Linked DNA regions of Rattus norvegicus. The protein of the gene in region 2 purifies or fractionates together with the protein of the main gene of each other region. This does not show direct contact. Links are inferred from orthologs where the notes say so. Each region holds a gene or a part of one and is shown on either strand. Other genes may lie near its edges. The genes, in order: Sdf2l1, Dnajb11 and Sdf2.

Region 1 (9,894 bases), about 5.7 Mb from region 2:
AGACGGGCTGGTCTCAAGTCCTAGCTAATGGTAAGCATGCTGAAGGAACCTAGTGGCCCCCTTTGACTTTCGACCTTTGTCAACTGGCTAAGGACTCCTGGGAGCATACTGAGCGGACTCCCCACAACTCATACCCACCCTGCAGACACTCTGATTGGTATACTTGTCCCGGAGGTAAGAGGACACGGGAGTGCGGAGGTCCTGAGACCTTCTACTGCGCTAAGTGGGGGTGTGAGACTTACACTCGAGGATGATGGGGGACCAAGAAGGGGGACTTAGTGGCCTTCTCCCCTGAGACTCCAGGGGAATCTCGAATTACAATAGAATTCACGGATCAAGGTAAAAACACAGACTGGAAGGTGGGGCATAGGTGGGGGATACAGTTGTATACCCCTGGCCAAACTAACCCAGGACTCCTGTTCTCCCTCTGTGAAGAGAAGGGGTCAGACAAGAGATTGGTCCAAACCCAGTCCTCATGGATCAAAAGCCCCCTTCCTGACCAGCACCGGCACTGCCCCCGGTCGGACCCCCACTATGGCTAAACACCACTCAGAACTCCGGGGATATCTTGACAACTCCCTCCCTGACTAGGGACCCTTCCACACCGGCCCCTCGGCTGCTAGGAACGGGAGACCAGCTAATCAACTTAGTGACTGGGGCATACTTGGCACTCAATTATTCAGAACCTGACAAGACCCAAGAATGCTGGCTGTGCCTGGTCTCTAGCCCGCCCTATTATGAGGGTGTGGCAGTCATGGGGAATTATACTAATCAGACCACGGCTCCGGCCAGCTGCACAACCCTCCCTAGCCATAGGGTGACGTTGCCGGAAGTCTCAGGACAGGGACTCTGTATAGGGACCATACCCCCCACTCACCAGGTCCTCTGCGCTATCACCAAGAGGATCCCCACTGGAAGCTACTACCTAGCAGCTCCTACAGGCACCTATTGGGCCTGTAACACTGGATTGACACCTTGTATCTCCGCCGCAATCCTCCGCAGATCCTCAGACTACTGTGTACTGGTAGAAATTTGGCCTAAGGTCACCTACCATGGGCCCGAGTACATATACTCACATTTTGAGGGGCTGACTCGATTCAGGCGAGAACCAATCACCATGACCCTAGCTCTACTCTTAGGAGGAATCACCTTAGGAGGAATGGCTGCAGGTATAGGGACGGGGACCACCGCCCTCATCGAGACGGGTCACTTTCGTCAGCTACAAGCAGCCATGAATGCAGATCTAAAAGCTATCGAGGAATCCGTGAGTGCATTAGAAAAGTCCTTAACATCTTGGTCTGAAGTAGTCTTACAAATTAGGAGAGGGCTAGACATGCTGTTCCTTCGCAAAGGAGGGCTATGTGCTGCTCTAAAAGAAGAATGTTGTTTCTATGCAGACCATACAGGATTAGTGAGAGATAAATAACATGGCTAAGCTCCGAGATCGCTTGGCCCAGAGACAGAAGCTGTTTGATTCCCAACAAGGCTGGTTCGAGAGGTGGTTTAACTGATCCCTTTGGTTTGCTACCCTGGTGTCCACCTTGATGGGACCCTTAATCATCCTCCTCCTAATCCTCCTCTTTGGCCCCTGCATTCTAAACAGATTGATGCAGTTCATAAAGAACAGACTCTCAGTCATTCAGATGCTTGTTCTCACCCAACAATACCAGAGGGTAAGACAACAGGAAGAGATTCCTTAGAATTCGATTTGAGTAAAGGATTTTACTCAAGTCTAAAAGAAAATGGGGGAAAATGAAAGACCCACCCCATGAGTCTTAACTCAGAGCTGCAACAGGCTTGAACGAGCCCAGGCACGCCCAGATACCTAGGGCCGAGTCACCGTTAAAACTAACAGACCATAAAAGGAAAGGAATACAGAACAGACTAGGAGTACCGGATCTGGCAGGAAGGGATAAGCCCCTAGCCCCCGACATTCAGGACGTCCCAGCCCGCACATACTCTTTTACCATGTTACAACCTCATTCGAATATGATTCAAACCTGCCAATGTGTGTAGCTATACCTTATTACCTCATCATGTGAAATAACCAATCATATGTGAACATGTCTATATGCCTCGTTTAAATCCACCAATCCCCGTAACTATGCATCTGCTTCTGTACGCCCGCTTCTGCTTCCCCAAACCCTATAAAAGGCCCATGCTGGAGCTGCTGGGCGCGCAAGTCCTCCGAAGAGACTGTGTGCCCGCAGGTACCTGTGTTTTCCAATAAACCCTCTTGCTGATTGCATCTGAGTGGCCTCGGCTTGGTCATTGGGCGCTTGGGGTCTCCTCCTGAGGGAAAGGTCCTCTCCGGAGGTCTTTCACCAGTCTGAGCTCAAACAGGGAGTATGAGGCTCTTGAATATGAACCTGAAGAGAGACGCTCAGCTGAGGGACCACCTCACATCATGGGCCTGTGGAATTTTCCTGATTCCTAATGGATGTAGGAGGGACCAGCCCTGGGCAGGTAGTCCTGGGTTGTATAAGAAAGCTGACCAGGCTGGGCTGGAGAGATGGCTCAGTGGTTAAGAGCACTGACTGCTCCTCCAGAGGTCCTGCATTTCAAAGAATAAAGATTTTTAAACTATCCCCCACTACCCCTGCTGTGAGGGCCAGTGCACCTCACAAAAGAATAACATCACATGTTATGGGGAAGTAGCCTAGCCGTAGACCACCTGGCCTCAATAAGGCCTGACTTACCAGTCCTGAGGAAAAAGAGTTGGGGTCAGCTTGCCCCAGAAGCAGGGTGGCCTGGAGTTGGACTGAGCCCAAGCTAGATCATGTGCTCCAATGTAAACAAACCAGTGAAATTGCTTTGCTTTGTGTAACTGTTGCCAACTACCTATGTAATTTTCCCTATAAATACTTTCCCCAAATTGGGCTCCGGGTCGACTCCTCTGTCTCCTGTGTGAGATAGGTGTCGTCCCCAGAGCTCTGGTTCCTCAAATACACCTCTTGTTCATTACATCAAGACCGATTTCTCGTGAGTTCTTGGGGGTTGTGTCATCTCAAGATTTGAGTGGGGGGTCTTCCCCACCCCGCTGGTCTTTCAAGGTCAAATCCCAGAAACCACGTGGTGGCTCACAACCATCTGTAATGGGATCTGATGCCCTCTTCTAGTGTGTCTGAAGACAGCTACAGTGTACTCATATGTAATAAATAAATAAATGATTTTTTAAAAAAAGAAAGAAAGCTGACTGGGCATATAGTGGTAAATGGAGGAATATCTTTAGTTCTAGTACTTGGGAAGCTGAGGCAGGCAGATTTTTGTGAGTTCTACAGAGTGAGTTCCAGAACAGCTGGGGCGGCATAGTGTATCTTTGTTTCAAAGACAAACAAACAAACGAAACCAAAAACCCCAACAAAGCAACAGTGAACCAAGAAAGCTAACTGAAACCTGATGTGGGGATTCGCCCTCAGGAGACAGAGGCAGGAAGATCTTTGGGTTCAAGGCCAGCCTAGTCTACAGAGCAAGTTCCAGGACAACCATAGCTGGGACCCTGAGAGAAAACAGAGAGAAACCCTATCTTGAAAAATACATAAATAAAACAAAGATCTGAGCACACGAAGAAGCGGGCAAGCTGTAAGTGGCCCTTCCTCCATGCTTGAGTGTTTTACAACAGCCACAGAAAGCAGGTGGTTTCTAGGCAGGTGTACTTACAGAGAGATTTCCTGTGAGTCTGGGGTGGCCTTCGTGAAAGGCTGTCTTTCTGGCTGAGCCTTCTGTAAGTTACTCTTGTCAGACATACCTGCACAAGGACCCCCTCCTTCTCAGCCTCATACCTAACACATTAGTTTGGGTTAAAGCCTTGACAAATGATTCTATTTTGATTCTAACAATTCTGACACAGCTTACTTAGAAACCTGAGATCTGCCTGTCACCCTTCCAGAGAGGATGACCTCAGACTTGAACTTCCTGCCTCTACTACTTGAGGGTTGACTTGCTAATGATCAAACCCAGGGATTTGCACTTACTGGACAAGCACTCAGTCAGCTGAGCTACATCTGCAGCTGAAACATAAACTTTAGTGGGTAACTAGTGGCCTAAGTACATATCATCAGCTTCTTAGTAATGTAGCCTGGAGGGGCAGTTCCTTTGTGAATACCTAACATCTAGGTGGCTGGCTGGCTGGCTAGAGAAAGATAGACAGATAGATAGATAGGGAGTGAATGTGGGTAAGTACGTGTATGTAGTAAGTATGTATGTGTATGTATGTATGTATGTATGTATGTATGTATGTATGTATGAGGGCTCACAGTTATCTTATCCAGCAACCTTAGGATTCTGCCACTAAATGACTCAAGAAGCTGCTTGGCTAAGAGAATTCAGAAAGCATGGAGCCAGGAGATTTTAAATAACTTTGTTATTTGTCCACTTTGAGACCACAAAATCTCGTGATTCACACAGAGTCTGTAGCTTTACCCAGGGTTCTGAGAGGAGGGACACGCGACTCAAGTGTAGGGGTCCAGGGTCAAAGGGGTTCCCGTACCTACTACACCCGAGAATCTCTAACGGGGACTAGAGGCAACCAACCTCTGGGGGACGGTCGCCTCAGCCACTGCTTTATTGGCAGGTCCTTGGAAGCGTGGACCAGTTAAAATCCTCCTGCTGTCTCCGGCCCCCTCCCAGCTACCGCCTTGGAAGCTGGGGGTGGGGCTGCTGCACATGATCCAATAGTAGTGCAGGAGGAACGCGCGCGCGCAGACGATTGGCTGCCGAGGGAGGGCGCTGTCAACGCCGGATTGGCTGCTGTTGAGGACGGAAGCGCCGAGGTCCAAAGCAACTGGAACCCGGCCGGCCGGCACGATGTTGGGCGCGAGCCGCGGGTTAGCGGGTCTGACGCTGCTGGGGCTGCTGCTGGCGCTCTCGGTGCGGAGCGGTGGCGCGTCGAAGGCCAGCGCCGGGCTAGTGACCTGCGGGTCAGTGCTGAAGCTACTCAACACCCACCACAGAGTGCGGCTGCACTCACATGACATCAAATACGGATCCGGTGCGCAGGGGTGGTGACTGGGACCGCCAGGGGGCGGAGGCTTAAAGATCAGGTGGTTCTAGCGGGGTCTGTGGGTTGTTAGGGAGCCGAGGGGTTGCGAGTCTAGACGGGCTTTTGGGTCTTGACAGAGAAGCCGCGGGGAGTGAGGTTGCGCGCGCGCGCGCGGTGTGGGGGGTATCCACCACTTAGGGTCCGGCCTGGGGTAGGGTGAGCCCTTCGGATCCTGGAGTGGTAAGGGGCTGTGGGGAAAACTTTTTAGTGTTCAAGTCGAGGGTCTGGAGGTTTGTGATTAACTAGAAACTACGGGTGGGGTGGGCTGTCCCTCTTCAGGCAGCGGCCAACAGTCGGTAACCGGCGTGGAGGCGTCCGACGATGCCAATAGTTACTGGCGGATTCGCGGCGGCTCCGAGGGTGGGTGCCCGCGCGGGCTCCCAGTGCGCTGTGGGCAGGCAGTGCGGCTCACGCACGTGCTCACCGGCAAGAACCTGCACACGCACCACTTCCCGTCACCGCTATCCAACAACCAGGCAAGCCCTGTTCCGAACCCCTCCAAAGCTGCGCAGGGCAGGGACTCAAATGACAGCGGGAGGGAGGTGTGCCGGAGAGATGTAGGGGGAGGGATTCAGTCTCAGCTACTGTGAATTGGGAGTTCATATACGGAAGTTTATAGAGCTTCTGCTCTGGGTCCTGTCCCAAGGAACTTCCCCTACCGAGTTAGGAGAAGCATTGAGAGAAGTCAGTGCGATGAGTTCCTATTTGGACATGTAGGGGGACCCACACAGCAAAGAATAGGAAACTGCAGGAAGGAGAAACTCAGGTTGGGTCTGAAAGAGAAGTGAGAGCTTATCCCTACTCCTGCTAAAACATAGGCCCCATTGCAGCTGGTCTGGTAGGGTTATGGGGAGAACCTGACAGTGCTTTGGGGGAGTTTCAGGGGGAAATATTGGAGATAGGGAACTTGGCCATTAGCCTGGGAACTTGGGTATAAGGCCAGTGGGCACTACACGACTGATACAAGAGGCTCTATGCATCTGAAGAACCTACCATGGGGTGGGAATCTTTTTTTTTTTTTTTTTTTTTTTGAGAACAGATTTCTCTATGTAGCCCTGGCTGTCCTAGAATGCACTATGTAGACCAGGTTGGCCTTAAACACCCAGAGATCTGCCTGCCTATACCTCCTGAGTGCTCTGCTTAAAGGCATTTGCCACCACACCTGGCTAGGGCAGGACTCTTGGCTTCCATTTGCTCAGCTGTGGGTGCTGAATGTCAGAGAAAGGACCAGAGGCCCAGGATACTAGGTGCACATATTACAGCTAGACATGCAGCTCAGGGGAGTCTGTTCCCTGTGTGTGACTTTCTATACCTTACACTCTCAGGAGGTGAGTGCTTTTGGGGAAGACGGTGAGGGTGATGACCTGGACCTGTGGACAGTACGATGTTCTGGGCAACACTGGGAGCGAGAGGCCAGTGTCCGTTTCCAGCATGTTGGCACCTCTGTGTTCCTGTCAGTTACTGGTGAACAGTATGGTAACCCAATCCGTGGGCAGCATGAGGTGCATGGCATGCCTAGTGCCAATGCACACAACACGTGGAAGGCCATGGAAGGAATCTTCATCAAGCCCGGAGCAGATCCCTCCACAGGTCACGATGAACTCTGAGCCGGATGGGAAGGGAGGGTGGCTGAGTGGGAATCCGCAGGGCTGCTCTTGTGTAAGACTCTGTAGGGGCCCTCAAGTGCCTTTCTGATTAAAGAATGTTGGTTTGTGATTATTTTTGCTGTACCCTGGGGAGGACCTGAGGGTGCTAGTCATATCTGTCCACATCATCATCTCACATGTCTCAAGTACCTGTTCAAATAATTTTTGAGACCGTCCCACTATGTATCCCTGGCTGGCCTGGAACTCCCAGAGATCCACTTGCCTCTGCCTCCTGAGCGCTGGTATTAAAGGTGTATACGACCACAGCTGGCCCCAACCTGTTCAATAAACTAATTTTTATTACAGTGTGAGTGCATGAGATGTGTGTATGTTGCTACCTGTACCTCAGTGATGCGTGGAGGTCAGAAAACAACTCTGTCGCTTCTCACCTCCTACCTTCATGTTGGCTCCAGAGATCAAACTCAGCCTGCCAGCATTACACAGCACACACTAGCTGCTGAGCCATCTCACTGGTTCCAAACCTTTTTGGGATACCTGTCCGTGCATTAAAATATTGCCCTGAACTGTGATCTCACCTGTCTACCCTACAGAGTCCTTGTAGCAATCAACCTCATTTCCAGGACTTGATCTTAGGCAACGTTTCTATTGGACGGGCTTGGCTGCAGGGCCCTGACAACTGGGATGGGGCTCAAGCTCTCCAGTTCCCTCATCTCCTGCTCTCAGGAGCCCATTCTTCTGGTGGTTGTGGCAGTTTTGAAACTTTTCTTTCACTAAAGGCCAGTTGAGGATTCTGCCTATCTAGTGGAAATTAATACCTCAGGCTCCCAGACTTCCTTACCCTGACCTGCCCCAGGTGCATTATTAAGCCCCCACTAGGACCTCCCAAGGCCCTAAGGAAAGAGGAGAGCTAGGAGAGATGACTCGGTGGTGATGAGCACAGACTGCACTTTCAGAGGACTATCAACTACAACCTGTAACTCCAGGAGGGATTGTTCAGATCTCTTATTCCTGCACATGTGTACACAAACCTAGAGGGACACGTGTAATTTTAAAAGAGTAAGAAAGGACATCTCAAGGGAAGACAACCTCCCCCTTCTGAACAAACAACAACAACAAAACCAATCTAGGTGGTTAAGGTTGTATAATTTAAAGACAAGACCAGAGGACTAGGGGATTGAGTTGTGGAACAGTTGGTAATTGGTATGTTTGAAGCTATAGAGAGCATTTTCTAGCATGTACAAGGCACAGGGCCCATTTCCAACACTAAAATTGGGTAAAATAATGCACATAATGTATATAGTTTAAATAAGCTGACACCAACAGAAGGGCCCACGCCAAGTAAGCTGACAGCTCTGTAGTGGTGCGTGTGTGGCCTCTAGAGGTGGTGGAAGAAATGACAGACTGCCTGGGCTTGGCTGAGCAGGTCATAAGGACTTCAGGGAACTAGTAGAATGATTATTAGTACTAGTAGTTAGTGGTTGATTTCCTGAGGGCCAGAAACTCCTAAGAGGCTGGGCCGACAGTTGGAGGAGGGACTTGGGATAGTGTGAGAAGAACAGAGATCACATGGACTTGGGAAATCAGTTGACTATTAATGAGTGGGTGAGAGAAAAGCTGCAGTTAATTTGAATCCTGAGGGGAGGGAGTTATGCCTTGGACCATCACTCCCCTATTCCTAACAGACCTGGTCTTTCCACTGACAAACTTATATTTTTGAGACAGATCTTACCATGTGACTCTGGCTGGTCTGAAACTCACTATATAGACCTGGCATAGTGAACTCATAGAGATCCACCCTCTGCCTCCCAGGTACTGGGATAAAAGATGTGTATCTCTGTGCCTGGATGTATTGCCAAACTTTTAAATGTTTATTAAATTGTGTGTGTGTGTGTGTGTGTGTGTGTGTGTGTGTGTGTGAGAGAGAGAGAGAGAGAGAGAGAGAGAGAGAGAACATGCACACAAATGTGGTGTCCTCAGATGTAAGAAAGGGGTGTTGGATCTCCAGGAGCTGGGATTGCAGATGACTGTGAGCTATCTAGTATGGGTGCTAAAAAAATTTTAAAGATTTATTTATTGTATGTGAGTGTACTGTTGCTCTCTGAGGACACACCAGAAAGGGCATCAGATCCCAGATGGCTGCGAGCCACCATGTGGCTGCTGGGATTTAAACTCAGGACCTCTGGAAGAGCAGTCAGTGCTTTTAACCACTGAGCCATCTCTCCAGCCCCATTTCAATTCAATTTTAACAGCTCTGCAAGAGCAGTACTCGATTTTGACAGCCATGCAATTGATCTCTCCAGCCCTCAAACTCTTGAGCTTCACGTAGAAATCTGCAATCCTCTCCTCTGAGAGGATTTACATGGAAGTGGATGATTAGGAGGGGATTTCAGTAAACAATGTGTAGAGCTGTGGGGCTGATTGAGGGGAAGCTGCATTGTGGGAAGGGTCCACCCTATCACTCAGTCTTATTGGGGGAAGTCTCACTAAAGTCATACCATCTGAAAGGAATGGAAGCCAGGATAGGCACCCAGCGAACATCTCTCATTGGCTGAGGGATGCTGGCTGGGTTCTGTAGTATTTCTTACTCCATGTATTGGATAAGGGTTCCAGCAGCCAGAATCACAAGTGGGCTGTTCTCTCTGCAGAAGAGCCAAGAGGGTTTGGGTGGGGCACTCCAGCCTCGATATATGCTGTCCATGCAAGGGGGTATTGCTATGGTCCACCCAGGAAAGCAGCGAGGCATTAGAATGTGGATTAAGGAAAGAAGTCAAGTGCACAGCAGGTAGGAGTCCTGGGTATCCAATAAGATTTTGGAGCAGGAAAGTTGCTTCCATGAAGAATATAGAATACGACAAACCAAGATCCGAGGAGCAGCAGCTGGACACTTTAATTTTACATTTGATTTTTATCTTTATGTGTATGGGTGTTTTGCCTGCCCATATGTCTGTGCATGCAATGGCTTTAAGAGACCAGAAGAGCAAGTCAGAACTTCTGGAACTGGAGTTACAGATGCTTGTGAGACAACATGTGGATGCTGACATGGGACCTGAGTCCTCTGGTAGAGCAGCCCACCCTGTAAACACTGAGCCTTCTTTCTGGTGAGGCCCCTCTCCTTAAACACAGTATTTCATGTAACTCAGGCTGGTCTTTTCCCCACTTCCTGAATGCTGGGATTTCTGTGTGTTTTGTATCTGTGTGGAAAGGTACAGTGTGGTGGCTGCATCCCCAGCACTACAAAGACCCAGG
Region 2 (9,948 bases):
TTCTTTTAGAATTACCTTCCGCAGAGAAACTTTTCCTTTGCTTTATAGCTCCATGCTATTTCCAGCTAACAACCAAACAGTCCAATTGGCTCCCTCTTTACTCCCTATTCTTGCTCCAAATACTTTTTTAAAAGAGAATTTATTTTATTTTTAATTATGAGCTCATGTGTGGGTGTGAGTGCAGGTCCCTCGGTGTCAGTTAAAGCTGGCTCCCTGGATGTGTAGTTACAGGTGGCTGTGAGTCACCGCGTGGGTGCTGGGGTCCTCCACTAAGAGCAGCAAGAGCCCTTACCTGCTGAGCCTTCTCTCCAGCCCCACCCCAGTGACTTTTACCTGTTTCTAAGGGTCAAATGATTAAAAAAGAAAGTTATCCTTATTCACAAAGATTACATCACATACATGTCCTAAATAGAAGCACTTTTGGACATTAAAGATGGACTGGCCTAAGGAGTTCATAAAGATTAAGCAAACTCCAAATAATAAACCTGAAGGGAAAATAGCACACATCTGGATGCAATGATTATGGTATATGCTGGGAGAAAAATACATTTTATGCATTCATTGCCAGTAACTATGCTAATCTGTTAGGATCAAGTCTTTATGACAGACATCTTCTAAAGTCCACACGCAGGAGCCTCTGTATCACTGTAGTTGAGAATATTCATATGATATAAATTAGGGCATAAAATAAGGGAATATTGCCAGGAGCTATGCTGAATCAACCATAAAAGGGTTCTTTCTCTGCAAGAAGTGTTGGGAGAAAGCTAGAGTGAGACTATAAAAAGCATTCCAGGCAAGGGCCGTACCCAGCTCATTGAAGAGGCCAGTAAATGCCCTCTGAGTAAGGTGAACATATAAGAATGCTCACATCTCTTTTTGCCAGAAGTTCAACCACTAGAATTCAAACCTAAAACTAGAATAGAACCTAAAAATATTATCTCAACAATGGGGCTAGGGAACTCATATAATAGAGGCTGACATAGCATGGCGGATAATTTAAAAATGTATGGGGAAATGAACCGGGAGCCAAGACATAAGGCAGAATATTAAAAAATACATTTTATGGCTGGCACGTGGCTCAGTGACAGTGCCTGCTTTAAATCCATGAAGTCCTGGATTCCTGATGTCGCATGCCTATAATTCCAGCACTCAGAAGGTTGGGGTTATTTCATAAACTCCTGGTCACACTTTCCAACAGTAATTTAGTTATTTTAATCACTCTGTTAGGTTTCTGGGTTGGTTTTCTTAGACAGGTCCTCATGTAGCTCAGACTGGCCTTGAACTCACTATGTATCTGAAGTTTGTTTTGAACTCCTGATCTTCCCGCCTCTACCTCTCAAATGCTGAATTTACAGACATATAAAGTCATATTCAGCTCACCTATACACAAGTTTTTGTTTTTTCCAATACAGGGTTTTTCTGTTGTCCCGCCTGTCCTGGAATTCACTCTGTAGACTAGGCTGGCCTCAAACTAGAGATCTGCCTGCCTCAGCCTCCCACGTGCTGGGTCCCAGCTCAACTACAGCATTTTTAACATTTATCACCCCCAGGAAGTCGACCTCATCTCTAAAGTCTTGACATCTCATGCTAGGAATCAGCCTTCTAATGACAAAAACGGCTAACAACACAGAGTGAGGCTCACACAACACTCCAATTCTGGAGAGGAGTGGGTTACACGAAACTAAGGATGTTAAAAGAATCCAATTAAAGGAGAGCCACTACTTTTCAAGCTGATTCAAAACCTACATAAAACCCCCCACCCCCACCCCCACCCCACCCCCACCCCAAGGTTCCTATTTCTCTTACAGGGGAGCTGAATCCAGCTTTCAGCACGCATGGTGACTTGCATGCAATTGAAACTCCAGATCCAGGGAAGTTAACACCCTTTCTTGCTTCCATGGGCACCTGCACTTACAGGTCCATGCCCACACATATGCATACAAACATATACACACAAACATATATACATACACATACACATGTACTTAAAAATAAAATCTTAGAGCGAGACAGATGGAGAGACAAGCAGAGACAAAGGATTCTGAACACAGGTACCTCGCATGAGTGGATGCTTCCCTTAGAATACATAGATTCTATGCACATATAATGCAAAAATCTCAGTGCCAGGGGTGGGAAACCTCCCTATGAGTTACTGTAAGTCAGGGAGGCTCCCAAAACAACAGAGGCCATTGTCATTGCTCCCCCCTCGCCAGTTTTCACAGTGCTAGAAGGCGTTATGCAGGCTGCTTGTTGAGAAAAGTCCCCAATGCTGACTAAGTGGGCAAGATGCACCTCTGGTACAACAGAGGCAGAAAGGTTATGGGGTTAACCTACTGCTTTTTGATTGGATTTAAGACCTGCTCCACAGGAGTAAATTTAAATCTAATAATATAAAACTGTCTGGAAGTCCTGGCCTGGGGGACCACAGGCCCTGGGGGAGAGGGAACTAACTGCTGTTGTTTCGTTAAGTAGACATGTTATCAAACTGCCTTGGAAATATTCAGATTATATTCATAGATTATATGACTATATATGGAAATATATAGGACTGTAACATAAGTATGCCATATATATATATATATATATATATATATATATATATATATATATATATGTTGTTATATTCATGCCATTCTCAATCTTGCACAGAGAGGCAGTAGTTCCTCTACAGGGGCAGTAGTTAATGCATCAGAATAACTGTTCAAAAAGCATGGAGAATGTAAATGAGTATTGAGAGATCAGTCTCAAAACAAGTATTTCAACCTTCCACCCCTCTCCCACACTCCCCAAGGTTCAGGGGAAGGAGGAACAGAAAGAATGTGAAGGCAGAGGATGGGGAAGAGTGTTGTGAAATTCTGTCTTCTGCAAATGGTACTCATGAATTCACTCAAGTTATGATTACCTGAACAAGACCTTCGAGAGAGCAAGCCAACACAATTAGTCACCATGCCAGCGGGCAGCACTGATTAACTGGACTCACACTTGCATGAAGTTAGAAAGGGAACATATTGGGGTGTGCCCAGAGCAAGCATTTTGGGGGGGGTTATATATGTATGTGTATGAGAACAAGTAAAAGATTTAAGAGGGAATAGGTTAAATGACAGCTCAGAAAAATACAAGAGAAAAGGGGAGGGGGTGTGTGACACAGTTCAGTGTCAACATCATTCTCCCCAGAGGCTGCTTTATGAATGACTGACGTTTAAAGCTATAGTATCAAAAATACTAGCATTTGCCAGGCATGGTCATTCATGCCTGCAATCCTAACACTTGGGAAGTGAAGGCTGAAGGATCATGAAGGAGTTCAAGGTGATCTTTAGCTACATATTGAGTTGGAGACCAGCACACCTCAACTCCCAACCGCAAAATTTTACCTTGATGTTTTATTAAATACCTTGGGTACTTGTGGTTCAGTCAAACAAGGAAAAAAAAACAACAAAGCATATGTAAGAAATGTTAACTTTTTAGAAATTTAAAGTATACCACAAGGAAATAATGATAACATTTAAAAGAAAAAAAAGAAAAACCCCATAAAGAAAGCAACTTTAAAAGCTATGCTAAGCATTGTGAACAACCTATAAATTGTCAAAAGCTGACATCTACGAGCTTTTGGTGTGTTTTATTTCTGTGGTTACTTATTTATTTGAGAGGGGGTGTGACATAGGCCAGGCAAGCCTGGAGCTCACTCGGTAGTTGAAAATGATCTGGGGTTCTGATCCACCGGTTTTCATGCGCCCAAAGCAGGGACTAACGGTGCAGGTCACACACAAGTCCAATATACCATATCCTAAGTCATCAGAACTACTGGGTCTTGCATTTTTTTTTTTTTTTTGGTTCTTTTTTTCGGAGCTGGGGATTGAACCCAGGGCCTTGCGCTTCCTAGGCAAGCGCCCTACCACTGAGCTAAATCCCCAACCCCGGGTCTTTTATGCTGGGAGAAACTCTAAGCCTGCTCTTTCTCCCTGAAGGTTATCACACTGTTATCCCCGATTTCAGAAAATTGATAAAGTTCCGTCATGCTTGTAGGACTCATAACAGCGGCATGAGGCTAGAACCCTAGTTTTTATTGACTGTTAAGAGAACTGTTCTTCTCACTCATACCATCCAGCTCAAGAAGGAACCATGAAGAGAGACAGCGAGGCAAGAAGACAGTTCAGATTCGCTAGCCCAAGAAGGTTGCGAGTACGAAGACTCTCTAAAGTGTTATGTTGCTCTCTCAGGCCAGCTTTCCTCAATCTAAGCTCGGCTTCCTTACTTTAGTGTCTGCCTCTCAGATGCTTGTCGCAAACTGTCCCACTCTGGAATTCGGGCATCAAGGACGCATCCATCATTTCAACCTCAGCTTGGCACTCACTACCTTCATTTCCATCAAGAGTCCCATTCCTCAGTCGTCGGTGTCCCTACTACTGCTCACAGCCACTTAACTCCCTCTAATTCCCAAACGTGGTATTTGGCTCTGCAACCAACTCCCGTTCTTCTCGGGGGCGGGGAAACCTGGCCCTGGACGGCCATCCTGACCCACACTACCCCTCGGTCCCTCGGCCCCGCAGTGCTCCTCCCTCACGCCTCGATGTCACCCGTGTCACTATCAGCAAAGGCTGCCCCCTCGGTCCCCGTGCCGCGCGGGAGGCCCCCTGCTCACCCGGCGATCACAGCCCCAATGAGGTACAGCAGCAACAGGCAGAAGGTGCTCAGGTTCTGCGGGGCCATGGTGTCCCCTGGTCCCACCCTCTCAGCCTCCCGTGCCGCTGCGTCGGCTGACCAGCCTTTCCAGCCCAAGGAGGCCGCCTCACGCCCGGGTCTCTCTCTTGCCTGGCCGCGGAGACAGGTAGTGCGCCCCTTCCTCAGCTGCCACTTTCCGGGAGCCCCAAAGCCGGCGAGCAGCCAGGCGTGGGCCAATCGCCGCCTGGGACATCACACGAGGCCGCCACGCCGCAGCCAATCAGAGCGATACACTTCACCTCCGAGGCGGCGCGGGCAGCCAGTCAGACAACGGAACTGCAGCCGGGGGGCCGCCGGCCAATGGGAAAGTGAAACGTCAGAGGTTCGCGCCGCCCGGAAGTGCCTTAGAACCGGAGAGAGGAGCGGAGAAAGAGCGCGCTGCTGTAGGAAACCGGAATGTCCACCAATCACGAGGTTCCTTCCCGATTCCGACCAATTGCTTGAGAGAGATCCTTACGTGGTTACCAGTCTGGAAACTACGCCATGTGCACACGTGACGCGCGCTTGCTTTCGGAGGTGCAACCCCAGGAGGTGTCAAAGTACGTGGGGCGTCTTGCATAGAGATAGGCTCTCACAGTACAAACTTATTATAGTCTCGATATTGTAGAAAAGAGGTCTGGTACCTTGTAGAGACGCCGCCGTGGAGACCGACTTAAGTTCAGATTCAGCTTCCAGCACTCCGTAGCGGTGAGGCAACCCCATCCCCATCCCACTTTCGAACCTATTTTCGGCAAAACTAAGGCAAAGCGTTCGCTGGCAGTGTTGGGAATTAATTGAATTATTTTTTTTCTGTTAGTTTCCTAGCAGAGTTGCACACAGTAAGCATGTAATCAATAAAAGGCATTATTATTGTTAGGAGTAGAGCTTGTTCATTGGTTGTTCTTTTCTCCAGTTTTGTTTATCTCCGAAAACTAGTTTCGGAAAGCCTCTCTGCTCAGCTTTACCTCCTGCATAACCTATTCAGATCTTTACCAGTGAACCGTACGGGGTGCACATCCACTATAGTTCCACCCGAGTCATAGTTATCTCTTGCTCGCAAAGGTCGTATAACCGATCTTTCTGCCGCCAAACTTCATATCTCCATACAGTATTTTAAAATTCTGCTCTCCACCCTATGATTGTGTGCACGCGTGAGCACACCAGGGAACCCGGAGATCACAGATTACTAGGCTGGTGGACGAGAGAGCTCAAAATCTTGTCTCCGTCTCTTCAGGACATTGTTGTCGCAGTTGCTATACGGGGTTGGGGGGGGGGTATTCAAGAATCCTTGCTTGTATGGCATGTAAGTGGCAAGCTTCATGGACTGAACTGTCCCCAGCGTCCGCTCACTTTTTTAAAAATTATGTCAAATCATGCCATTCTGCTTAAAAGCTTTAGTGGCTCTTCATTGCACTCAAAGTAAAACGCTAGCTAACTTTATGGTAATTTACAAGGTTGTCTAATTTAATGGTATATGTCCTCACATATTAAATATCTTAGCATGTTCCAGAAAAATCAACTCTCTTCCTTTTAAAACTTTCTTATTGTGTATATTCACTGTATATGGTACTTTCTTGTGCAAGCAAACTGAATAATGCATATATTATGCCCTCTCATCCTTTCCACTCTGTTCTGTTACTCTTTTTGTTTCTCTAGGCAGTTTGGCTTTGCCATATACACACATATGACTTTACCTATATAAAATCTAGGAACCACAAATGAGATAAAACATGTATGTGTTTCTTTGAGACTGGCTTAATTCCCTTTATTCTGTTGCCGTTGAACTCCTAGGTTAATCCTGTAATGTAGCTATTGTGAGTAGTACTGGAACAAACATTGATGTTTTGCCAAAAACCCTTTTCTAATTAAAAAGAAAAAGAAGGTTTATTTTGGAATGCATGCCTGTTGCTCAAGGAGGCCAGAAGAGGGTGGTGAATCCCTTGGAACTGCAGATGGACATGAGCAGCCATGTGGGTGTTAGGAATCAGATCCAGATCCACTAGAAGAACAGTAAATGTTCTTAACCTCTGAGTCTGGCTTACAAGTGTTGTATTGAGAATTTTTACATCCATGTTCATTAGGGAGATAGGTCTCTAACTGTCTTTTCTTTGCTGTGTCTTTGGTACTAGTAGTAGACCAAAACTGACTTCATTTTCAAGAAGTTATTTAATGGAATACTTTGAAAAATAGTGCTGTTTTTCCTAAAGGTGGATTTTTGCAGTGATTTTATCTGGGCTATTTGGGCTTGTCTTAGTCACTGTTCTCTTGCTGTGAAGAGACACCATGACCAAGGCAACTCTTATTTTTAAAAAACCTTCAATTGGGGTTCACTCACAATGTCAGAGGCTTAATTCATTATGTTATGGCCAGGAGCATGGTGGCAGGCAGGCAGGCACTCAGCTGTAGCTGAGAGACACACCCTGGGGGAGAGAGAGAGAGAGAGAGAGAGAGAGAGAGAGAGAGAGAGAGAGAGAGAGAGAGAAACAGACAGACAGACAGACAGACAGACACAGACAGACTGAGGCATGGAGGGACAGAGACACACAGAGCACACACCTAGAGCTATTTGTCATGGCCTTTTGAAGCCTCAAAGCCCACCCCCCTGTGACACTTTTCCCCCGACTACCTACTCCAACAAGGACACAATCCTTTCAAATCCTACTCCTTTCAAAGAGTTCCACTCCCTAGTGACTATGCATTCAAATATCTGAGCCTTTAGGGGCCATTCTTCAAACCGACTCTGGGCTCCTTGTAGTTGTGAGGCTTTTGTGGTTGCTTTGAGTTAGTTTTACTGCTTCGGTACTGATGCTTGTTACACAGTTGTTTATATTCTTTATCTCTTTGTGGTCCTGAAGGAATTATCCATTTCTCTTAAGCTTTCCTGAAGATGTGAATTCCGTTGATATCTTGTGATGGTTCCTTTTTTCGTCACTCACTGATTTTGTTGATTTAGGGCTTCTCTCTGGGTTGGATAAGGGTTTGTTGATCCCGTCATCTCATGGAGTCTCCATAGGTTTTCATTTCAGTTTTATTCATGTCTATGCCCCCTTCAGTTTCCTGTTTACTTTGTGTGTGGGCACACGCCTGCACCACGGTGTGCATTTGGAGGTCAGAGGACAACTTGCTGCTGTCATCCTCCTTCCAGCCTGTCAATCCTGAGTATGGAGTTAGGTGGCCAGGCCTGGTGGCAAGTGGTGCCGAGCTTTTGTACTAGATTCATTTCTGTTGCTGTAGTAAACATAACCTAAAGGGAGGAAGAAATACAGGGGGGTGAAGGGTTTCATTTGTCCTTCAGTTCTAGGTTAGGTAAAAAGTCGTGTCATTGTTGAAATGTGTCAAAGGTTTGAGGCAGCTGGTCATACCTCATTCAGTCAGGAGCAGAAACAGAAGTGCCCATGTTGCCTACTTGCTCACAATTCTGCTAGCTTTCTCTCCTTGTACACAGGGCAGAGCCCAGACCGGGGAATGGGCCAGTTAATAATCAAGGCAGTCTTCCTCATTCATGGCCACAGGACCAACCTGATCTAGGTAATTCCTCAATCGAGACTATTTCAGATGACTCTGGGCTTGGCTAGTTGACCGCTAAAAATAGACCATTGCAGTCATCTTGCCACCGTGATCTTGTTTGGTGTCTTACTTTCCACCCACTTACTTGAGGTTTTTCCAAAACCCTAAAGTGAGTTTTAAAATATTTGTGATGTCTCTGTTTTTTTTAAAATACAGGTAGGCACTTTACTTGTAGAACCCATTTATTTCCTGGTTACAGGGAGATGCTCAGCGGGAGAAAAGTGCTTACCATGCAAACCTAAGGACCTGAGTTCAATTCTTGAAACCCTCATTAAAAAGCTAGACGTTGGTGCCTCACATCTGTGATCTTAGCATTTCTACTTCAAGGTGGGAGGCAGAGAAAGGGGATCTGGCAAAATCTTGAAGGCCAGCTAGTCTGTAGCACAAAACAAAGAGACAAACAACAGGAGAGGGTTGGTAAAATGGCTCAGGTGGTATGCTATCAAGTCTGGCTACCTGAGGTCAATTTTTGACCCCCCAAATGGTGGAAAGAGAGAACTGACTCTTGTCCTTGGCTTCTACATGCACCTCACGACCTGTGCATACACAACACACACACACAAACTAAGTGTAAATTAAAATCTTTGAAAGAGTAAGAGAGACTGTGCTCTCATCTCCCGCCTTGCCTTCATTATGTGTTAGGCATTGGTATGTTGTGGTTATCTTATTCTAGTCTATTGATTTAAAGATTGTCAGGTTTATTATTTTAAAGTTATGTGTGCATGTGTGTGTCTTTGTATATGAACGTGTGAATACAGGGGTTCTCAGAGTTCAGAAGAGGCTGTGAGATCTCGTGGAGCTAGAATTACAGTTGGTTGTAAGCCACCCACATGGGTGCTGGGAACCAGACGTTGGTGCTCTGCAAGAGCAGTGTATGCTCTTGACAGCTGAGCCATAGCTCCTAGACTGTCCTCTCCCCGTTGTTGTTCAGTGTCCATGAGTTAGTGTGTGTGTGTTCTGTAGCTCCTCTTGAGTTTCTAGTTTTATCTCTTGGTGACAGATTACACACATGAGATTATTTCAGTTTTCCTGGATTTGTTAAGGCTTACTTTGTGTGCTGTTATGTGCTGTATCTTAGATGTTCTGTGAGATGTTGAGAAGACTGTGGGATGCTTGTAGATATCTGGTAGGTCTGTTTGGCATAGGATGCTGTTGAAATCTGTTTATTTGTTGTCAGGATAGTCTGTGTACCTGTGAGAGTGGGGTCTTAAACTCACCCATTCTTATGCTAGAGATAATCTGTGTCTGCGTCTATTTTATGTCTTTTTAAATATATATATATTCTTTCTGATAAATTCATTTGTTTATTTTTATTTTATGTGTATTGGTATTTTGCCTGCATACATGTGTGTGAGGGAGTCAGATCCCCCAGAACTGGAGTTACAGGCAGTTGTGAGCTGCCATGTGGATCCTGGGAATTGAATTTGGATCCTTTGGAAGAGCAGCCAGTGCTCCTAACTTCTGAGCCATCTTCTCAGCCCCATCTGTGTCTATTTATAGTAGTATCCGTTTTATATAATTGGGTGACCTGTGTTTGGAGAATATGATTTGGAATAGTAACATCTTGATTGATTGTTCCTTAGTCAATATAAAGTGACCTTATCTTTTCTGAATAGATTTGGTTTGAAATATATTTTGTCAGATACTAAATTAGCAACACCCATTTGTTTCCTAGATTCATTT
Region 3 (9,699 bases), on a different chromosome or scaffold from region 2:
CTGAAACATTAAAAATAGATTCTCAATCTCAACACACAGTTTGCTTTAATTAGGTCACCATACCATGAATTCAATCTTTTAAAGGGTCAATATCTTACATATTAGATGTTCCTGGTCTATTTAACAGAGCGGAATAGGCAACCTACCTGAGAAAACAACAGCTTTTTTGGGGGTGAAGTAGAGAGGCAGCTGGTGTTCCAAGTTGCATGCAGTTTGGGAAGACAGCTGAATCCCTTCCCTCCAAGCTCCAGGCCTAAATTAGAGATAAAGCACGCACTGTGCTATCCCTGTGGAATGCTTCCAGTCTAGCTAGCTCAGTGCTACAACTTTCAGTTGAGAGAGGCGTGCCAGAAGCAATCATGACTTCCTGTCAGCCATAGCCAGATTCACAGAGTGCTGCATCAGCACTGCAGGCTGAGGATGTCAAGCAGCAGCGATTCCAGAGTGGACCAAGCATCACCTGTGCATGCAGCATTATTAACAGGAGGGGTATGGGATGGGCTGATGGCAGCTTTGACTTTTGTACTTAGTACTCACAGGCTTCAAATTAAAGATTGTGAGTTAAATCTGTATCTGGAATAGGCTTTGAAGAAGAACAGTGGCAGGCAGAGGGAGGTTTCTCCAGGAGAAGCCCGCTGCAGTATAATATGTGGCTCAGAGGGAAAGGGTGCTGGTTACCATGACAACTCTGCAAGAGTACTAGAGCTGGGATCAGATTGCCACAGGGGAGGACTCAGCAGTCCCTCCTTTCCAACCAGAACTAGTAGGAGGCAATTAAGAGGAGACCGGGCTGAAGAGAGAATTAGTCTGTTAACTCCTTTTGTTTTGAAGCTTCAAGGAATATTTAGATTGTGCTTGTTTGTTTTAGGGTCATACTCTGTTCTGGGTCTTGGTGCGTAAAACTGAATGTAGTATGTTTCCTCACTGGTGGAGTTCATAATTTTCATAAATTACATTATGGTAAAACACAAATGAGGGTGGATTATATCTCAGTGATAAGACAGGACATTTGTATACCATGCACAAAACTCTTTGAAACAAAATCCAGTAATTAGTGATGAGAACAATACGCTGACAGAAGGCCTGGACTTCAGAAAGGGATGCCTGAGTGAGCAGGCCTGGAGTACCTTCCCACTTCTGGGGTGCTTAATCAACTAAAGAAGGTGGGGGGGGGCAGGATTAAGGCAACATGAGCAAAACACTTAAGTTTATAGCCCATCTAGTCTGCTGTGGAGTTTAACACATTCTGCTACTGTGAACTAAGTTCAGGCTTATTTCAAAGGTACCAGTAAGTGACTATTCATTTGGAATGCAAAAACCTTAACGTCAAAAACAAAAGTCTCAGAACCTAGCTACATTTTAAAAAATTCTGATCTCAGAACTTCTTATGAAAAACCTAATTATAGGAAATTAAGGTATTTAAAATATAAGCTGGGGGCTGGTTAGATAGTTCAGCAGGCAGAAATGTTGGTCATGCAAGCCTGATGACCTCAATCAGACCCCCAAACACACAGAAAGGTAGAAGAGCTAACCCACAAAGCTATCCTTGGGCTTCCACATACAGGTGTGCTCACGCCTACAAAACAATCCACACTCTCTCTCTTAGGTATAGAACCCCAAGTCTCCAGCACTTGGCAAAACTTCAAGTTAGAAGCAAACATGGGCTACACACGGAGACCCTGTGGCAAACTAATAAGAGGACCATGAGATCTTCTAATAGAGAACTCAATCTGGTTTTGAAAAAGTGCATTCAAATAGACTTAGGCGGGAGCCAGGCATGATGGTACACACCTTTAATCCCTGGACTCAGGAGGCAGAGGCAGGCAGATGAAGGGGAGCCTCATCTACAGAGTGAGGAGTGATCAGCAGAGGGTAGGAACGACTGCTTGGAGAGACAGCTGGTTGAGGTGTGGAGTGCCTTCTACATAGCATGCATGACCTAGGCAGCAACAGAGGAAGTCAGTCTGACCAGAGAGAGGAAGGGGGATGTGAAGAAGGCTTAAGGATCTTCAAAGACTGTATGGGAATCTGAGTGGAAACTAAGGAGCTTGGATCCAGGACTTATGGGCAGTATCCTGCTAGGGTTCAGTATTGGTTTGATTAGTATGATTATATTTTTAACTTTAACCTTTGGGGAATGAAGAACTACCAGTATGCCTAAGAAGTAAGCAGCACAGTTTTGGAAAAAAGTTGATGCAAACCCCCCCTCTAGCCCCCCCCCCCCCCCCCCGCAAAGGCCAGGGAGATGACTCAGCCAGCAAAGTGACTGCCACACAAACTGCACACAGAAGGACTACATTAAAATGCAGTAATGTTTTTAAGACTAAAAAGGAGGCGTTAGCTCAGTAGAGAAAAATCCAAGGACAGAGCATTAGCAACTGTACTGACTATTCCAGAGACTCAGAAATGAAAACAGAGTTTCCATTGGATTTGGCAACATAGTAGCTTCTGGTGACCATATCAACTTTGATGAGCAGTTAGAAGGGGAGTCAGATTGGTTTTAACTTAAGCTTCGGTGAAAGTTAAGAAAGTTGAACTGGTTTATAAGCTGAAACCTGACTATAGGATGAGAATTTAAAAATTAGGGTGATGGAGCTAGGCTTAGTAGTAGCACATGTTAATCCTTCTAGCACTGGGCAGGCTGAGGGCAGAGTGACCAAGAGTCCTAGGTCAGCCTATGTGTCAAGAAAGATGATGGCTGGAGTGGCCTTTGAAAGATATTAGGACATAATTTTGTTTTTGAGTTCTTTGAAACAGGTTTTGGTGACTTGAATTGGGAAATCACTGGAAGGAAGTCAGTGGTCATACCCAACCAAGACCGTGGTTGGTGACATTTATTAGGACCAAGAATACTGCTGGATGGTGGTGGCACAAGCCTTTAGTCCCCAGTTCTCAGGAAGCAGAGGCAGGCAGATCTCTGTGAGTACAAGGACAACTAGGAAGAGTGCTCCTGTCTTCAGAAACAAAAAAGAACTGGAGAGGGTAATATAAACTTTGACCGAATGTCAGGACTGTTCTACTTTATGGTGAGATTAATCACGTGGTAAGAGTAAGTGCATTTGGAGAGTATGGATACTTTGCCAATCTAATCTGATCTAATAGCCACACATGCCAACCAAATAAAATAAGGTGGTAGTAGTGGTGGGACACTAGGCATGGAGAGGAGCTCTAAATTCATGGTTGAGGAGAGAGCTGTTTTTCTTTGAGACAGGGTCTCAAACACAGCCAAAACTTCAATTCCATGATCCTCCTGGCTCAGCTTCTCAATTGTTGCTATAATTGTTTTGTAATTAAAAACACTGAAGATTTAAAAACTGTCAAGTTCAGTGTTCAACAATGGAACTGAACTTTCCCTCCCCAAAATTAATTAAATTCAACAAATTCCCCACAATGTAGCATCTTTCACTGCTGGGGAGGGGGCCAGGCTCCTTCCCTTCCTGCAGATTTACAGGCAGTTAACGGTTGCTAGGGGGGAGGGGCTCATCACGAGATCCCACCAATCCTAAGGATTTACAGTAATTCATTGTTGCTGGGGGGAGGGGAACATTTTCTTTAGGGTTGTAGTCCAGGCTTCTCTGAGTAATTCTTCACCAATGTACTTGTAAATAACCATAATTTAGCTAATGGAGGCATACACACATAATGAACGCAATGGAGGATTGTGAAGAAGGGGGTCAGCGGGAATGGAGCGGGGTGGAGGAGGAAAAAACAAATTACCCTATAACTTTTGATATTACGGTGACATTTCATGTAATTATTATAGGAAACCTGCCTCCTAAAGGAAAACAGGCGTCAATTTTTTCTGTAACACAGGGAAACTGCTTTACTTAGATATTTTGAACGCCTGATGTCAAGCAAGAATACACATTTCTGATTTAACAACCAATTCTAATATTTATGGTAGGTCTTTGGAAAGTGTTCGAGGAAATGAATTATGCAGGATGGAAGGCTCCAGGTACTTAAGTATAAACTCGCATCTTTTGAAAGTATTAAGGGACTTGCCCATCCGTGGGGGGTAAAAAGTTCAATTACTCAACAGTTTTAAAAGAGCTAACATTCAGCACAGTACACCGGCCTCATGGCTGAACCATAGTAAGCCCGGCAGGATCCAACGCCCGGACTAATTAATCCGATCACCTGATGCCAAGTAAAGAAACCCTTAGGTCTCTTCTAGTCCAATTTTTTTTTTTTTTTTTTTTTTTTTTTTTGGCGTGGCCCAGATTCCTGACGCCGCGGAGAAGATGGGATCCCAGAAAGCCTGTTGATTCAAGAGGCAACCCCAGGTCACAGGTTCCGGGTGGTACCGCGTGGAGAAAGGGCTGGAAACTCTGAGTAATCACGGCACTTTAATGTCCTTTTTTCCCCGGCAGATCAGGGAAGGCCAGGGCCCCCTTCCTTTCCGCAGTGAGCACCCCAAAGCCTCTTCCCTTATGGGACCAGGCCCCAGGAGTCTGCTCGCCACCTGCGCACACACACACGCAACACACTCTTCAGGCTGAGCTTTACCTGCTTGGAAGGCCGCTGTTTCTCCGCTGCGCTAAGCCCCCGCGGAAGAAAATGGAGTCGCCGATCCGAGACTGCAAAAGGGTAGCCCGGACCCACCGCAAGGGCCCTCCGCAGCCGCCGCCACCACCACCGTCGCCGCTGCTGCGTTAACGTCCTACGTCACCTCCGGCTCCCTGTCACTAGGAGTGGGAGGGTCATTTCCTGATCTTTTTCTCTCCGGTGTCTAGGGCTTTGGTTCCGAGTCCGCGAACGCAGACTGAAGACACATAAGGAACGCAGCTGCCACAGAGCACCCAGAACAAAGCGGGGCCAGCGTGTTCCTTAAGCCGCTCTAGCCAAAGGAACCATAAAGATTCAGGTTAAGGAGTCTTCACTTCCATCTTGGCGTAGTTCTGCCCTTGGCTTCCGGTTCCGGGGAAGGGCCTAATTTTCTTGGATGATTAGGGCTCTCGGATCTAGGATGGCTGTCTTGTCGCTTCTGTTGTTGGGTGGTTTGTGGAGCGCTGTGGGAGCGTCCAACATGGCTGTCGTTACTTGCGGCTCCGTGGTGAAGCTACTCAATATACGCCACAATGTCCGACTGCACTCTCACGACGTGCGCTACGGGTCAGGTACAGAGGGGGACCAACCGGGGTTGGGTGGGCTGCTTGGGCCCGGTGAGCCTAGAAGGGGCGGGGCCTCTGGCTCTGAGGGCGTGGTCTTGGAAAGTTGAAGAGGAGGAGGCGTTGCCAAGGAAACTTAGTCCTAATATTAATTTCTGTTTGATGAGCTGATGAGCTATGTGCCAAACGTGTTACATATTTACTTTCCAGTTTTTAACATTGTATTGAGGATAGATACTAAGGTTACTTTCTTAGGTGAATAAACAGACTCAGAGATATTACTCAGCCGTCAGCTAATGAATGATGGAGGCAGGGTTTAATCCAAGTCTGTCCAGGTTCAAACCTTTCAGATTCCATGGGCTGCCACTATTCTGTGCTGGAGAGGAACATTTAGAGCAGGACAACACACGCTGAATCTCAGATTTTAAACTTGAAGAGCTCACTCTGATTACAGCCCTTTGACACATTTTTTTAAATTACTTAGCAGTAACTTCCTTGTAAAAAATGTAAGCGTTGACAGGCATTGCAGAGGAAAGTGCTTTTTATCGTGTGCAATTAAAATTCTCAGTTATTTGGGGGCTCATTCATTTGGCCTAGATTTAAAGAGCTCTTTTATTTACCTAGTATTGTTCTAGACACAGGAAATACAGTAGTGAGTCAAACAATAAAACAAGACTAATGGGCAGGCGTGGTGGCCTAGATCTGTAACCATAGCATTCTGAAGTCTGAAGCAGGAGGATCAGGATCATGACTTCAAGATCAGCCTGGCCTATATAGTAGGGGCTGTCTCAAAACAACAACAAAAGAAGTTCAAAGGCTGGGTGTTAAGAGTATGCCAAGCATACTGAAAGGCCCCAGCTTCTGCCTCCACATTTTGTGGGAATAAAAGTAATGAAGTTCTTGAGGTGTACTCAAGATAACTTGAATGACTGATGATCCTATTTGCTAGAAAGGAAGTCACCTTCTAAGATGGTTGCTTAGTCTGTGTTCGCAACTCTCAAAACCTGTCCTTCCAGTTTAGTCCAGGGAGTGTATAGTCTTTATATTCCTAGCCACCTCATTCAGTAAACACCTACATGTGTCAGGCTTACTACATTTTAATTTAATGTTTCCTGCTTTGGGTCCACCAAGTTAAAATGGCGTTAGAGAGAAGTCTACCAGACTTCAAACCTCTACAGGTGGTCCCTAGGGGTGGGCCATTGTTCATTCTGAACCTTAGGAGAAGAATCTGTGATACAGAGTTAGATACAATATTCTTTTAAAAATTTGGCTTGTTTGTTTGTGGCTAGAGACAGTCTCTCTAGCCCTGGCTGTCCTAGGCTTGGAACTCAATATGTGATCTGACCGACCTTGAATGCACAGAGGTCCTACCTCTGCCTCCCAAATGCTACAATGAAAGGCTTTAATTTTTTTTTTAATAGCATTTATCTTGTGTGTGTGTGTGTGTATTTAGATGCATGGTTGCCACAGTACAAATGTGGAGATCAGAGAAGAACATTGTTCTGTCCTTGTCATGTGAGTCCTAGGGATTGAACTAAGATTAGCTGAGCCATGTTATAGCCCAGATACAATTTTCTTGTTTAGAAAATGGTTGAAGATACATGAGTAGATCAGATTGCTCAGCATGAGCTATATGGTTCTCAATCTGAAAACTAACAGTTAATGTTTCTTAAATTACTATATCTGGATCTCCAAGTATTTAGGAACAGATCAAAGGCCAAATAGAATTCTGGACATTCCTAGGTATCAGGAGGTCTCTGGAGGAAGTAGAGGATTGAAAAAGTAAAAGGGCTGGGGAGATGGCTCAGAGGTCAAGAGCACTGTGCTTCCAGAGGTCCTGAGTTCAAATCCCACCAACCACATGGTGACTCACAACCATCTGTAATGGGATCCGATGCCCTCTTCTGGTGTGTCTAAAGACAGCTACAGTGTACAGTGTACTTACATATAATAAATAAATAAATTTTAAAAAAGAAAAGAAAGTGAAAAATCAAAGAGACAATCAAAATATAGAAAACAGTGCTGGAGAGGTGGCTCAGTGGTTAAGAGTACTTCCATAGGTCCTGAGTTCAATTCCCAGCAACCTCATGGGGCTTCACAACCATCAGTAATGGGATTCGATGCCCTCTTCTGGTGTGTCTGAAGACAGCTACAGTATACTCATATACATAAAATTAATAAATATATCATTAAAAAAAGTATTTGATGCTCTTGCAAAGAATCCATGTTCCAGTCCCAGCATCCACATGGTGGTTATCTAACTCTAATTCCAAGGGATCTGACTCCTTCTGACCTGTGGGCACAAGAATGCATCTGGTGTTCAGACAGGCAAAATACATAAAAAGATGAATAAGTCTAATAAAAATAGTTTCTTCCGGGCAGTGGTGGCTCATGCCTTTAATCTCAGCACTGGGAAGGCAGAGGAAGGCAAATCTCTGAGTTCCAAGCCAGCCAGGCTACATAGAGAAACCCTGTCTTGAAAAAAAACAAATAACAACAAAATGTTTCTTTAAATGTATAGAACAGGACTGAATTCTGATGGAGCTGAAAGGCGATAAGAAGTGGGAAGAGCTGAACCAGGTGCCATAAAAGCAGATGGAGCTCCATGAGTTCTAGGCCAGCCTAGTTAGTCTACATAGGAAATTCCAGGCCTGCCAAGGCTACCCAGGTCAGACCCCGTCTCAAAATATAAAATTAAAAAACAAACAAACAAACAAACAAACCAACCAGAGTTTAAAAGATGTAACAATGACATGGGTTGAATGGAATAAGCCTGGGAAAGGGACTGATTGCTTGGTCCGTTTATCAGATCATTAGTTCAAAGCCTGAGGTTTTGTTATTTGGTGAAGTCAGGCAGGGCATTGGAAGTGAAAGGCCATCTAGGAGGGAAAGTATCTCTGGAGTAAGTAGACTGTAAGAATTTGACAGAAAATAGAATGGAGAAGACGCCCTTTGGACATGATGTGTTAGAAGAGGAAATGCTCTAGAGTCAGGTTACCTGCCTCAGGCTTAGCCCAGTCATAGCTCCATGACTTTGGGTATATTACTCACCCTTTCTAACACTCCAGTATAAAGTAGGGACAGTAACAGTAGCTATCTGGGAATAAAATGCCTTCGTTATGGAGAATGAATATTTAAGTAGGGCAGGAGAGCTTTAGTCTTACTATTCAGGAGACAGAAAGAGACAGGATCTCTGAGGTCAGCAGCTCTACCTAGTGAATTTCAGGCAAGCCAGTGCTACACAGTGAGACACTGTCTCAACAAACAAAAATCTATCTTAGCAGCTGGGCTGTGGTGGTCCATTCCTTTAGGAGGCAGAAGATCTCTTTGAGTTCCAGGCCAGCCTAGCAGAGCAACTTCCAGGACAGCCAGGGCTAGGGAAACCCTGTCTCAAAAAAACAAACAAACGGGGTTGGGGATTTAGCTCAGTGGTAGAGCGCTTGCCTAACAAGCGCAAGGCCCTGGGTTCGGTCCCCAGCTCCGAAAAAAAGGAAAAAAAAAACAAAAAAAATAAAAATAAATAAACCAAATCATTTAAATGAAGAACTTGGATTAGCCCTCTTGGGGGGATGGTTTTGTACACCATATATTCAGATGCTAATTTCCATGCCCAGACATCTGGTTGCAGTCCTCCAGTTTCAATGTTATGTAAAAATTGTTTTCCATCACCTCTGATTGGTTAATAGAGAGCTGGTTCAGCCAATAACTGGGCAGAAAAAAGAGAGAAGGCAGGACTTCCTATCCCAGTCAAGGGGTCCCAAAGAGGAGTGGGGGGGGGGGGAGCAGAAGGTATGAAGAGACCACAAGGAGGGACCAGGAAGAGTGGCCATGAGAACGCTCTTGGAGCAGAGTGAGCCTGAGTAAGACTTGGATCACAGGTGAAAGACCACAAGGCTGGGAAGTAGCTAAGTTAGCATAGTAGAATAGATGACATTCTGCCTAGTTAAAGGCTTGCAGTCTTTTAATAAATTTATTAGGATCCATGTCATTTATTCAGGAACTAAAAAGGACTAGAGTGGATGAAGAAACACCTGTCCTTATTTGGGAGCAAGAGGGGCAGAGCAAATCCGCTGATTACTTTTACATAGCCCCATACCTGGTGACAGTGCGTTTTCCTTTAAGAGCTACGGCTACACATTTTACTAAGTGTTTTCACCATGAAGAGTTATATAATCTTAGTATGGCTACAAATTCATGTGATCTAAGAATATTTTATTCCTGGCTTTTTGAGACAAGGTTTTACTATACAGTCCTAACTGGCATAAAACTTGCCAGAGGACAGCTTGGGACATGCTGGCGGTCTCCTGCTACCTCGGATCTTCAGGATTGAACTCAAGTATAACATCAAATACCTTTAACCTCTCAGCCAAGTCATTGTCTCTTTTTATGCTTTAACATTTTTTTAATTAATTTAGATTTGTGTATGCACTAGGCGTGGTGACACACACCTTTAGCCCCAGCTCTCAGGAGGTAGAGGTAGGCAGATCTCTTAAGTTCAAGGCCAGCAGCCTGGTCTACATATGAAGCTCTAGGAGCTGGGACTACATAGAGAGACCCTGTTTTTAAAAAAGAAAATTTGTATCTGTGTGTG

What was found.
Region 1: the proteins of Dnajb11 (region 2) and Sdf2l1 purify together in Homo sapiens (affinity purification with mass spectrometry; 3 studies listed by BioGRID and IntAct, counting the BioPlex papers as one, with this or other methods). This does not show direct contact. The link is inferred for Rattus norvegicus from reciprocal best matches to the Homo sapiens genes DNAJB11 and SDF2L1.
Region 3: the proteins of Dnajb11 (region 2) and Sdf2 purify together in Homo sapiens (affinity purification with mass spectrometry; 3 studies listed by BioGRID and IntAct, counting the BioPlex papers as one, with this or other methods). This does not show direct contact. The link is inferred for Rattus norvegicus from reciprocal best matches to the Homo sapiens genes DNAJB11 and SDF2.

Annotation. Positions count from the first base shown.
Region 1 is NC_086029.1:97,372,126-97,382,019, forward strand, and holds Sdf2l1 (stromal cell-derived factor 2-like protein 1 precursor), read left to right. Parts: upstream 1-4,752; 5' UTR 4,753-4,806; coding exon 4,807-4,990; intron 4,991-5,320; coding exon 5,321-5,517; intron 5,518-6,366; coding exon 6,367-6,648; 3' UTR 6,649-6,995; downstream 6,996-9,894.
Region 2 is NC_086029.1:91,667,914-91,677,861, forward strand, and holds the start of Dnajb11 (dnaJ homolog subfamily B member 11 precursor), read right to left. Parts: upstream 4,888-9,948; 5' UTR 4,708-4,887; coding exon 4,640-4,707; intron 1-4,639. Other genes in the region: Tbccd1 (TBCC domain-containing protein 1), read left to right, coding at 5,203-5,258. UniProt on the Homo sapiens protein: As a co-chaperone for HSPA5 it is required for proper folding, trafficking or degradation of proteins.
Region 3 is NC_086028.1:63,633,956-63,643,654, forward strand, and holds the start of Sdf2 (stromal cell-derived factor 2 precursor), read left to right. Parts: upstream 1-4,678; 5' UTR 4,679-4,942; coding exon 4,943-5,117; intron 5,118-9,699.